Macaca mulatta: one gene and its partners. The protein of the gene in region 3 purifies or fractionates together with the protein of the main gene of each other region. This does not show direct contact. Links are inferred from orthologs where the notes say so. Each region holds a gene or a part of one and is shown on either strand. Other genes may lie near its edges.

Region 1 (3,732 bases), on a different chromosome or scaffold from region 3:
GTCATCCTCAAACAGGATTTGCTGATATTCAGGGACACCCGTTCTTCCGAAATGTTGATTGGGATATGGTATGTAAATTTTGATTACTTTCTCTATTAGGTTTCATTATTATCTTCAGCCAAATCTTTTTTTTTTTTTTTTTTAGGACAGAGTCTTGCTCTGTCACCCAGGCTGGCATGCAGTGGCACGATCTCGGCTCACTGCAACCTCTATCTCCCGGGTTCAAGCAGTTCTCCTGTCTCCGCCTCCCAAGTAGCTGGAATTACAGGCACGCACCACCACACCCGGCTAATTTTTGTATTTTTAGTAGAGATGGGGGGGTTTCACGATGTCGGCCAGGCTGGTCTCGAACTCCTGACATCAGGTGATCCACCCACCTTGGCCTCCCAAAGTGCTGGGATTACAGGTGTGAGCCACCGCACCTGGCCTATCTTGGGCCAAATTTTATTGTCTTAGCTAACATATCACAGCTTTAAAAACTTAAAACCACTTTCTAAACTGCTTTTTAGAAAACTTTTAAAACAAAAAAAATCCTTTTTTTAAAAATGTATTGTTTTTTCTGAGATGGAGTCACATTCTATTGCCCAGGTTGGAGCGCGATGGTGTGATCTCTGCTCACTGCAACCTCCGCCTCCTGGGTTCACGCAATTCTGCCTCAGCCTCCTAAGTAGCTGGGATTACAGGCACATGCCACCATGCCCAGCTAATTTTTATATTTTTAGTGGAGACAACGTTTCATCATGTTGGCCAGGCTGGTCTTGAACTCCAGACCTCAAGTGATCCACCTGCCTCAGCCTCCCAAAGTGTTGGGATTCCAGGGGTGAGCCACCGTGCCCAGCCAAAAAATTGAATATTAATGTAATAAAGCAGGTTATAATGTTATTGAAACCCATATCAATGTTTATACTTGTTTTTGTTTGTTTGTTTGTTTGTTTGTTTTTTTAAGAGAAACAGTCTCACTCCATCGCCCAGGCTGTACTGTAGCTCACGACAGCCTTGATTGAACTCCTAGACTCAAGAGATCCTCCTGTGTTAACCTCTCAAGTAGCTGGGACTATAGGCATAAGCCATGGTACCCAGCTAATTTTCAATTTTTTTTTTTGGTTTGTTTTTTTTGAGGTGGAATCTTGCTCTGTCTCCCAGGCTGGAGTGTTGTGGCACAATCTCGGCTCACTGCAACCTTCGCCACCTAGGTTCAAGCAATTCTCCTGTCTCAGCCTCCAGAGTAGCTGGGATTATAGGTGCACGCCACCACGCCTGGCTAATTTCTGTATTTTTAGTAGAGACAGGGTTTTGCTATGTTGGCCAGACTGGTCTTGAATCCCTGACCTCAGGTGATTTACGCACCTTGGCCTCCCAAAGTGATGGGATTACAGGCATGAACTGCTGTGCCCAGCCAATTTTTAATTTTTTAATAGAGATGGGGTCTTGCTATATTGTCCGGGCTGGTCTTGAACTCCTGGCCTCAAGTGGTCCTCCCATCTCAACCTACCAAGCAGTTGGGATTATAGGCATGAGCCACCATGCCCAGCTCATATTTGTAAATTATGTTCATCATTGCTAATATCATTGTACCGTGCTTCAGGACTCACTTTAATAAGGGAAACAATGAGTGCAGAGGAGAACTGTAGAGGTGCAATTTTTCTAATAATACAGACTTGAGCTGTCATCCAATATGTCTTTTCAGATGGAGCAAAAACAGGTGGTACCTCCCTTTAAACCAAATATTTCTGGGGAATTTGGTTTGGACAACTTTGATTCTCAGTTTACCAATGAACCTGTCCAGCTCACTCCAGATGACGAGTAAGTAATTCTGTACACTGAAATTTTTTTTTAAGTTTTTTGGAAATCCCATTTTTAGTGACTATGCAATGTTTCATGATCAGATTATACTATTAATTTTTTTATTTTTTATTTTATTTCATTTTATTTTATTTTTGAGACAGAGTCTCGCTCTGTCTCCCAGGCTGGAGTGCAGTGGTGCAATCTTGGCTCACTGCAACCTCTGCCTCCCAGGTTCAAGTGATTCTCCTGCCTCAGCCACCCTGAGTAGCTGGGACTACAGGCTCATGCCACGACACCCAGCTAATTTTTATATTTTTAGTAAGGACGGCGTTTGCCATGTTGGCCAGGCTGATCCTGAACTCCTGACCTCAGGTGATCCACCCACCTTGGCCTCTTAAAGTGCTGGGATTACAGGCGTGAGCCACTGCGCCCGGCCTATACTATAATTTATATAACCATTCAGTTACTGGTATTTGAATCCACTGTACTATTATAAGTTTTAATAGTAACTGTCATTTTCTCCTTTGCTTTATCGTGCATTATCTCATTTTCACAACAACTTTGTAAACTAGTTAAATTGTCATCTTCATTTTACAGATGAGGAAACTGAGGCTCAGAGAGGTTAAGCAAAGTTACACAGCTATCAGGTGGTAGAGTCAGGATTCAAACCCAAATCTCTCTGTCCTGCTGCACTGTTTCCCATTTGACAAGGACTGTCTTTGTCTGTCTAAGTTCCTGAGTATTGCCTTAAGATAGATTCTTAGAAAGGGAATTAGGTCAGAGGGTATTAACATTTTAAAGCTCTTGATATGTATTGCCAAATTGCTTTTTTTAAGGAATTACATTGAGTTATTAAATCCAGCCAGCAGTGAGCTGATATATTTTTTTGTACTTATACTGCATCTTTTAAAAATATACCTTAAAATAATTGGGGGATATTTTGATTATTTACCTGTTGTTACAGATTCATTCTCTCTAATCTCAAGGAGGCCCTTATTGTTTGGCAGTCATTTTACTTCTATCTTATTTCTTACCACATTTCTCCCAGCACCTGCTCCAAACAGTCTCTTCATTTCAGAAGCCTTCAGTTCTACTCCTTTTTCCATCACTGTTAAAGGATTAACCTTGTCTTATTTTGATGCAAGGACTGATAACCTCTCTGGCGTGACCTTGCCTCCTTTCCAGCTGTCACCAGACCACCTTGCATCTCAGAATTGCTTTCTAATTCTTTTCAACATTTTCTTATTCCCTACTCTTGGAAGGCTCTCCTTTACAAGGAGCGTCCCTCCTATTTTCCTAGACCTGTTTCTGTAGTTTTCTCCAATATTTCATTTTGTCAGTTATCTTGTTATTGGACCTTCTTAGATTTATTTTTTTCTAGCTTGCTTCCCTCTGTGTAAGCATGCTCAGATTCTCTGATTTTTTCCCCCTAACTCATAGTCCCTCTTTGAACAACCACATTTTTCCTCATTTTCATTTCGTCTTGAAGCCTCAAAAAAAAAAAAAAAAAAAAAAAAAAAGTCAATAGATGTTCATGGTCAAAGAAAAATAAATATGCAGCACCTCTAATCTAACTTCTTCAGACTAGTCAACGTTGATTGTCTTGAATTTTTTTTTTTTCTGTCAACACTTCAACCCCTTACAACTGAGCCTGTCCTCCAGCTTTTGAAAGTTGAATCAATTTCTTAATTTCTAAATTGTAAAGCATTTTGGGGTGAGTCCTCACCTCCCTTGATGAATGTAAAGCATTTGGTCCTCATGGCTTTGCCTTGGGTGGCACTGCCTATTCTGGTTCTGTTTCATCTCTGTGACTACTTTTCTCTCATGTGTTTTCCCTGTCCCCTTGAGACCAGGATGCTTCATGGTTCTGTTCATGACAACCTTCTTTTTGCTTCATGCAGTTTGTACCTTGGAGATTTCAACCAGCCCTGTAGCATAGATACCAGC
Region 2 (2,834 bases), on a different chromosome or scaffold from region 3:
GGCCAGGCGCAGTGGCGCAAGCCTGTAATCCCAGCACTTTGGGAGGCCAAGATGGGCGGATCACGAGGTCAGGAGATCGAGACCATCCTGGCTAACACGGTGAAACCCCGTCTCTACTAAAAAATACAAAAAACTAGCTGGGCGAGGTGGCAGGCACCTGTAGTCCCAGCTACTCAGGAGGCTGAGGCAGGAGAATGGCGTGAACCTGGGAAGCGGAGCTTGCAGTGAGCTGAGATCCGGCCACTGCACTCCAGCCTGGGCGACAGAGCAAGACTCCGTCTCAAAAAAAAAAAAAAAAAAAAAAAAAAAGCTGGTTTAAAATCATGTTTTAAGGCCAGACACAGTAGCTCTCACCTGTACTCCTAGCACATTGAGAGGCCGAGGCGAGAGGATCTCCTGAGGCCAGGAGTTCAAAACCAGCCTGGGCAACACAGCAAGACCCTATTTTAAAAAAAGGAAAAATACATATATATTTAATGATGTTTAAGAATATGTAAGATCTGGCTAGGTGCGGTGGCTCACGCCTGTAATTCCAGCACTTCGGGAGGCCGAGGTGGGCGGATCATGAGGTCAGGAGATCGAGACCATCCTGGCTAACACGGTGAAACCCTGTCTGTACTAAAAATACAAAAAAAATTAGCCAGGCCTGGTAGCACACACCTGTAGTTCCAGCTACTCGGGAGGGTGAGGCAGGAGAATTGCTTGAACCCAGGAGGCAGAGGTTGCTGTGAGCCAAGGTCACGCCACTGCACTCAGCCTGGGCGACAGAGTGAGACCATCTCAAAGAAAAAAAAAAAAAGAATACGTAAGATCTATCATAATTTCATTTGCCATATTTAATGTTTAATAGTGATTGAGCTCTATCAAATTTAACTTCAACATTGGTTTATTTTGTGATGTGTATTTGAGATGGCCACCTAGTGGTTTTTTCTGGTATGGCATTTTACTACTGTACTAGATTATGATCTGATTAGCAAATAAGCTTATTAGCTAGTTTGTTTATATACCAAATATATTTTGAGTTATCCTTTCTGTACAGATTCTGCCGCAAGTGAATAGATATTTTTACAGCATTTCTATAATTATTTTGTTTTATTTTTAAACAGAAGAAGCAGACTACAGTGCCTTTGGTACAGACACGCTAATAAAGAAGAAGAATGTTTTAACCAACGTATTGCGTCCTGACAACCATAGAAAAAAGCCACATATAGTCATTAGTATGCCCCAAGACTTTAGACCTGTGTCTTCTATTATAGACGTGGATATTCTTCCAGAAACACATCGTAGGGTACGTCTTTACAAATATGGCACTGAGAAACCCCTAGGATTCTACATCCGGGATGGCTCCAGTGTCAGGGTAACACCACATGGCTTGGAAAAGGTTCCAGGGATCTTTATATCCAGGCTTGTCCCAGGAGGTCTGGCTCAAAGTACAGGACTATTAGCTGTTAATGATGAAGTTTTAGAAGTTAATGGCATAGAAGTTTCAGGGAAGAGCCTTGATCAAGTAACAGACATGATGATTGCAAATAGCCGTAACCTCATCATAACAGTGAGACCGGCAAACCAGAGGAATAATGTTGTGAGGAACAGTCGGACTTCTGGCAGTTCTGGCCAGTCTACCGATAACAGCCTTCTTGGCTCCCCACAGCACATTGAACCAAGCTGTGAGCCAGAGGATGAAGACAGCGATGAAGATGACATTATCATTGAAGACAATGGAGTGCCACAGCAGATTCCAAAAGCTGTTCCTAATACCGAGAGCCTGGAGTCATTAACACAGATAGAGCTAAGCTTTGAGTCTGGACAGAATGGCTTTATTCCCTCTAATGAAGTGAGCTTAGCACCCATAGCAAGTGGCTCAAACACGGAATTTGAAACACATGCTCCAGATCAAAAACTCTTAGAAGAAGATGGAACAATCATAACATTATGAAACCATTGTTTGAATGTTTTCAGAGTGAGGATGCCATGAGAACTTGTACATTTGGCTAGTTTAAAAGCATATATACCTCTGACCAGTGACGTGGAATAGGCATGAGACGAGTAACGTTGCAAGCTTACAATATTATTAAAGTAGTAGTCTGGTAATTGTTAATATAAACTTTGGTGGATCAGAGGTGAATTTAAGTCCAAAACAAAGGGGCCTTTGCTGATGAAGTTACGTGCTTTTACTTTTTTGTCTGTGGAGAATCAGATGTTAAAGCACATTCTTGGAACTATGCGAGAAGACTAGATCATTTCTGTTGGAAGTGGTTGCATATTTAACCTGCTGTGCAGAGCCCAGTTAATTTTTCCTTTAACTGTATTTTTAAAATTCTAATGTGAAGTCTGATTCTCTCTTTTGGTACACTGGGGACCTCAGCTCTTAAAGGTCTTATGTTCCCAATATTTTATTTTATTTTTTATTTTTTATTTTTTTAGTGACTGGATCTCACTCTGTTGCCCAAGCTGGAGTGCAGTGGCATGATCACAGCTCACTGCAGCCTCAACCTCCTGGGCTCAAGCAATCCTCCCACTTCAGCCTCCTGAGTAGCTGGGACCACAGGCACGTACCATGACACCTGGCTACTTTTTGTATTTTTTGTAGAGACAGAGTTTTGCCATGTTGCCCAAGCTGGTCTTGAACTCCTGGGCTCAAGCAGTCCTGCCTCGGCTTCCCAAAGTGCTAGGATTACAGCCACCATGCCCAGCCTATTTTGATTTTTGTTTTTTTAATGTTCCTCTCTAATAAATTGTAACAAATGATGTTCTCAAGTGCATTTCCAGTTTCTAAGAATCAAACCACGTGGCTGTTTTTAGGAGTTGCTTCCCATGTTATAAAGCTCAGGAAG
Region 3 (3,732 bases):
AGAACTTGGGGTCCTGACCAGGGAACCAGCATGAGAAAGAGCTGCTTCCCAGGCTGGTCATATGGTTGCACTGTGACCCACAGCTGTCAGCATTTTGAATTATTGAGCCTGGATTGCTGTTCTTGAGATTTTTGCATATATCAACTTAATAGATAATTAATAGTTACTTTCTATAGCCTTCTAAGTGTGCGTGTGTGTATTTTAAAAATTTTAAATACACATCTAACCCAATCCAAGATTCTATATATAATTATAAAGCTCTTTCTTTGAAAACTTAAATGGAAATATTTTGTAATGTCTACAAGTTGTATTAGACAATGTTGTAAAGAGAAGGTTCCATTTGGTTTCTATTATTGAAATTATAATACCTCTATTGTACTTAAAACATGTTTAATGATTTACAATTGAGAGAACAGAATTTTTTCTGTAGTTGTAGATAATTTTTTTATTTTTATTGAGAGAAAGAGAAATTTATATTTGAAGAAACAGCTATTCGTAGATCAGAGCTACAAACTTGATTGATAAATGGGTTATTAGAATTTTGCTTTTCAATTTCAACAGCCTGTCAGTTCTTATTGCTTAATTAGTATACTTAATTAAGCTCATAATATCTTCTAGTCTGCCAGTCTTAATTTGCTAATTTTCTATTCTTTCTCAAACCCAGAGCACAACATATGTTTCGCCAAGCCATGCGTACACCCATCATTTGGTTCCATGTGGTTCCTGCAGCAAATAAAGAACAGTATGAACAACTATCTCAAAGTGAGAAGAACAATTACTATTCAAGCCGTTTTAGCCCTGACAGCCAGTATATTGACAACAGGAGTGTGAACAGTGCAGGGCTTCACACGGTGCAGAGAGCACCCCGACTGAACCACCCGCCTGAGCAGATAGACTCTCACTCACGACTACCTCATAGCGCACACCCCTCGGGAAAACCACCATCCGCTCCAGCCTCGGCACCTCAGAATGTATTTAGTGCGACTGTAAGCAGTGGTTATAACACCAAAAAAATAGGCAAGAGGCTTAATATCCAGCTTAAGAAAGGTATAACCTATCTTGTTTTTGTTTTGTGGAATTTCTTTTCTTAGTAGCAACACACAAGGGTTGAAATGGAATTTATTTTAAAAGTCAACCTACTAACCCAAAGCACCCTAAGTCTTATCTCATTATTTTGTGAAAGAATTGATAGATTTTTAAAAGCTACTTACCTTTTAACACGTTTAAAATTGTATTTCTTATATGTCTCAGGTTTATTTTGCTCTGTAGAAATTAAAATGTAAAAGTGCAGAGAATAAGACTTTAAAATATGTCTATGAGAAGAAGATAGCAGCTACTACTGCAGTAAAATTTTTGATTGTGAATGAAAATGGCTTCGGGACATTAATATCAAACACAGAACAATAGTAAGGATTTGACCATTTTGACTGCCCCATTTGCTGTCTAAGTCTAGCCCTCAAAGAAGACTTGAGAGGTAGTGCACATCAATCCTAGTATTTGGTGTGGGGAGGAACTGATTTGTTTGAGGCTGCCAGGAGTTTTTAGTAGGTTGCTGAGAAGCCAGGCCATTGGCTCTTGTCTTTTGTTTTCTTGAATTACTGCATTACTTCCCTTTCTTTTTTTTTTTTTTTTCCTTTTCTTTCCTTTTTCTTTTCTTTTTCTTTTCTCTTTTTTTTTTTTTTTTTTTTTTTTTTTTTTGAGACAGGGCCTTGCTTTCTTGCCCAGGCTACAGTGCAGTGGCACAATCATAGCTCACTGTAGCCCACAGCACCACACGTCAGCCTTCCAAGTACTGGGACAAGAGGCATGTGCCGCCGTGCCCATCTCATTTAAAAATTTTTTTGTAGTGATAGAGTCTTGCCATGTTGCCCAGGTTGATCTGGAACTCCTGGCCTCAAGTAGTCCTTCTACCTCGGATTCCCAAAGTGCTGGGATTATGGAGTGAGCCACCATGTCCAGGCCTGCTTCTCTTTCTTATGGTGATGTGGAAGTCATGATGGCGATTACCAATTCTTCATGCATCTTTCAGCCATTTATGTATTTTAGTACCCTTCTTGTATACAGTGGATCTCTGTGTATAGAGAGCATGTTCTTGCAGTTTGCCTCCTTCAAAGTTGAGTGCAAACTATTGGACTTGACTTTATGATTTTCACCCAGTGTTTGGTCCAGGCACCAAGATATACTTTTACTGTTCATGATCCATTTTAGCTGATCATTTTGATATATTTTTAAATCATGTCTTTCAAAATGGTATTATTATAAAGAATATTTATTTTTATAGGCTCAACCATCAACTCTTATAGTTGGATGGAAATGATTCCAAGAGAGGTTCATTATTTCCTCAGGTCATGTGGCTGTTGGCCACAGATTCTTACTAGAATGTTTTCCATATCCAGATATTCAGACCATTCTTCTTTCCATTTGGGGTAGCATTTACAAGGTTGTAAATACTGAGACTGCTGTTTCCTTTCTAAGTCATATTCTTTCATTGAACTTTATGTGAACCTCAAGTTTCTTTTTCTGGTTACTGGCTTTTAAGCTCTAAATACTGGATTGACATGATCAGGAGTTGACAGCTTGCCTCCTTGCAAACACAGAGGCATATCAACAGAAACCCCTTTGGCTCTGTCACTTCCTAAATGAGAGAAATATCACATCCGCTTTCCTCCTTTTGCTCTACTTAAATGACAGGCCCTTGTTTTTAACCAAAAACATATCAAGAACCACAAATAGAGTTGTATAAAAAATAAAATTCTGCTTGAGATCTCTAAAAGGTATAGTATTTTGCTTCACCACTGTCATAAAGATATTGGTTCATAAATATCTTTTCCTTTTTATACTGATACAGCAGTATTCATTTAGTTAATTACAGTTTTTCAAAAATTAGGATATTTGACAAATCATGATATAACATGAACTTTTTAAATGAGGTGATTTGCCACTAAAAGTACCATTGTTTTGAATACAGATTTTATTTTAATAGCATTTAATGAAAAATATGATTGCATTTACACAAGCTAATTTAGAAAGATTGTGCTTAATCACTGTAAGGAGAAACAATGGTTTTAAGTGTTTCACAGACCTTGAATAATCTTAATGATATAGAGTCCCATAGATCTATCTTGATTTTAATTTACCAACTGTGAGAGTGTATGACAAAAAACACATGCTGCTTGTGCATGCCACCAATACTTACAAATATTTTATATAAAAATTGTGTTTAGTATAAATGTGGGGAAGAATGTAGATTATCTTTGATTTGGACTAAATGCATATATTTTAATAATAATGATTGTAGGAGAATTGAACAGGCTTTCCTTGTAGCTAGCAGATTTGTTCTTACCAGTTATTACATTTATTAGTGAAGTACATTAAAAACATAGGGTGTGTCAGATTCGGTTCAGAGTGAGCTAATGTGCTTTGAGTGGCAGCAATTCTTCAAAAACTGGGATCAACTCTTAGTACAAAAAAAGATGTCGGTATAATGATTCTTTGGCCTAATTTTGGATCTATATTATATAACATGACAACAGAATAGCCTCAGTGTACTTGCTTCCATAATTATGATTTCTTAATATTTATTGCCATTTTGGTATTCTCAAATACCCTGCTCTTTTGTAGAAATTAGCTTTTTAATAAAGTCAAAGGAGAAGGTCAGTAATCTGTTTCAGTCAGTGCAGAGTGTTTTGTTGGCTTTGTTAAATGAAAATTGATATCTACTTATCTTTCCTT

The links. The genes of interacting proteins can lie anywhere in the genome.
Region 1: the proteins of PARD3 (region 3) and PRKCI purify together in Homo sapiens (affinity purification with western blotting; 5 studies listed by BioGRID and IntAct, with this or other methods). This does not show direct contact. The link is inferred for Macaca mulatta from reciprocal best matches to the Homo sapiens genes PARD3 and PRKCI.
Region 2: the proteins of PARD3 (region 3) and PARD6B purify together in Homo sapiens (affinity purification with mass spectrometry; 5 studies listed by BioGRID and IntAct, counting the BioPlex papers as one, with this or other methods). This does not show direct contact. The link is inferred for Macaca mulatta from reciprocal best matches to the Homo sapiens genes PARD3 and PARD6B.

Annotation. Positions count from the first base shown.
Region 1 is NC_133407.1:82,016,273-82,020,004, forward strand, and holds part of PRKCI (protein kinase C iota type), read left to right. Parts: coding exon 1-68; intron 69-1,687; coding exon 1,688-1,803; intron 1,804-3,732.
Region 2 is NC_133415.1:103,610,858-103,613,691, forward strand, and holds part of PARD6B (partitioning defective 6 homolog beta), read left to right. Parts: intron 1-1,106; coding exon 1,107-1,936; 3' UTR 1,937-2,834. UniProt on the Homo sapiens protein: Adapter protein involved in asymmetrical cell division and cell polarization processes. Probably involved in formation of epithelial tight junctions.
Region 3 is NC_133414.1:35,768,762-35,772,493, reverse strand, and holds part of PARD3 (partitioning defective 3 homolog), read left to right. Parts: intron 1-664; coding exon 665-1,047; intron 1,048-3,732. UniProt on the Homo sapiens protein: Adapter protein involved in asymmetrical cell division and cell polarization processes. Seems to play a central role in the formation of epithelial tight junctions. Targets the phosphatase PTEN to cell junctions.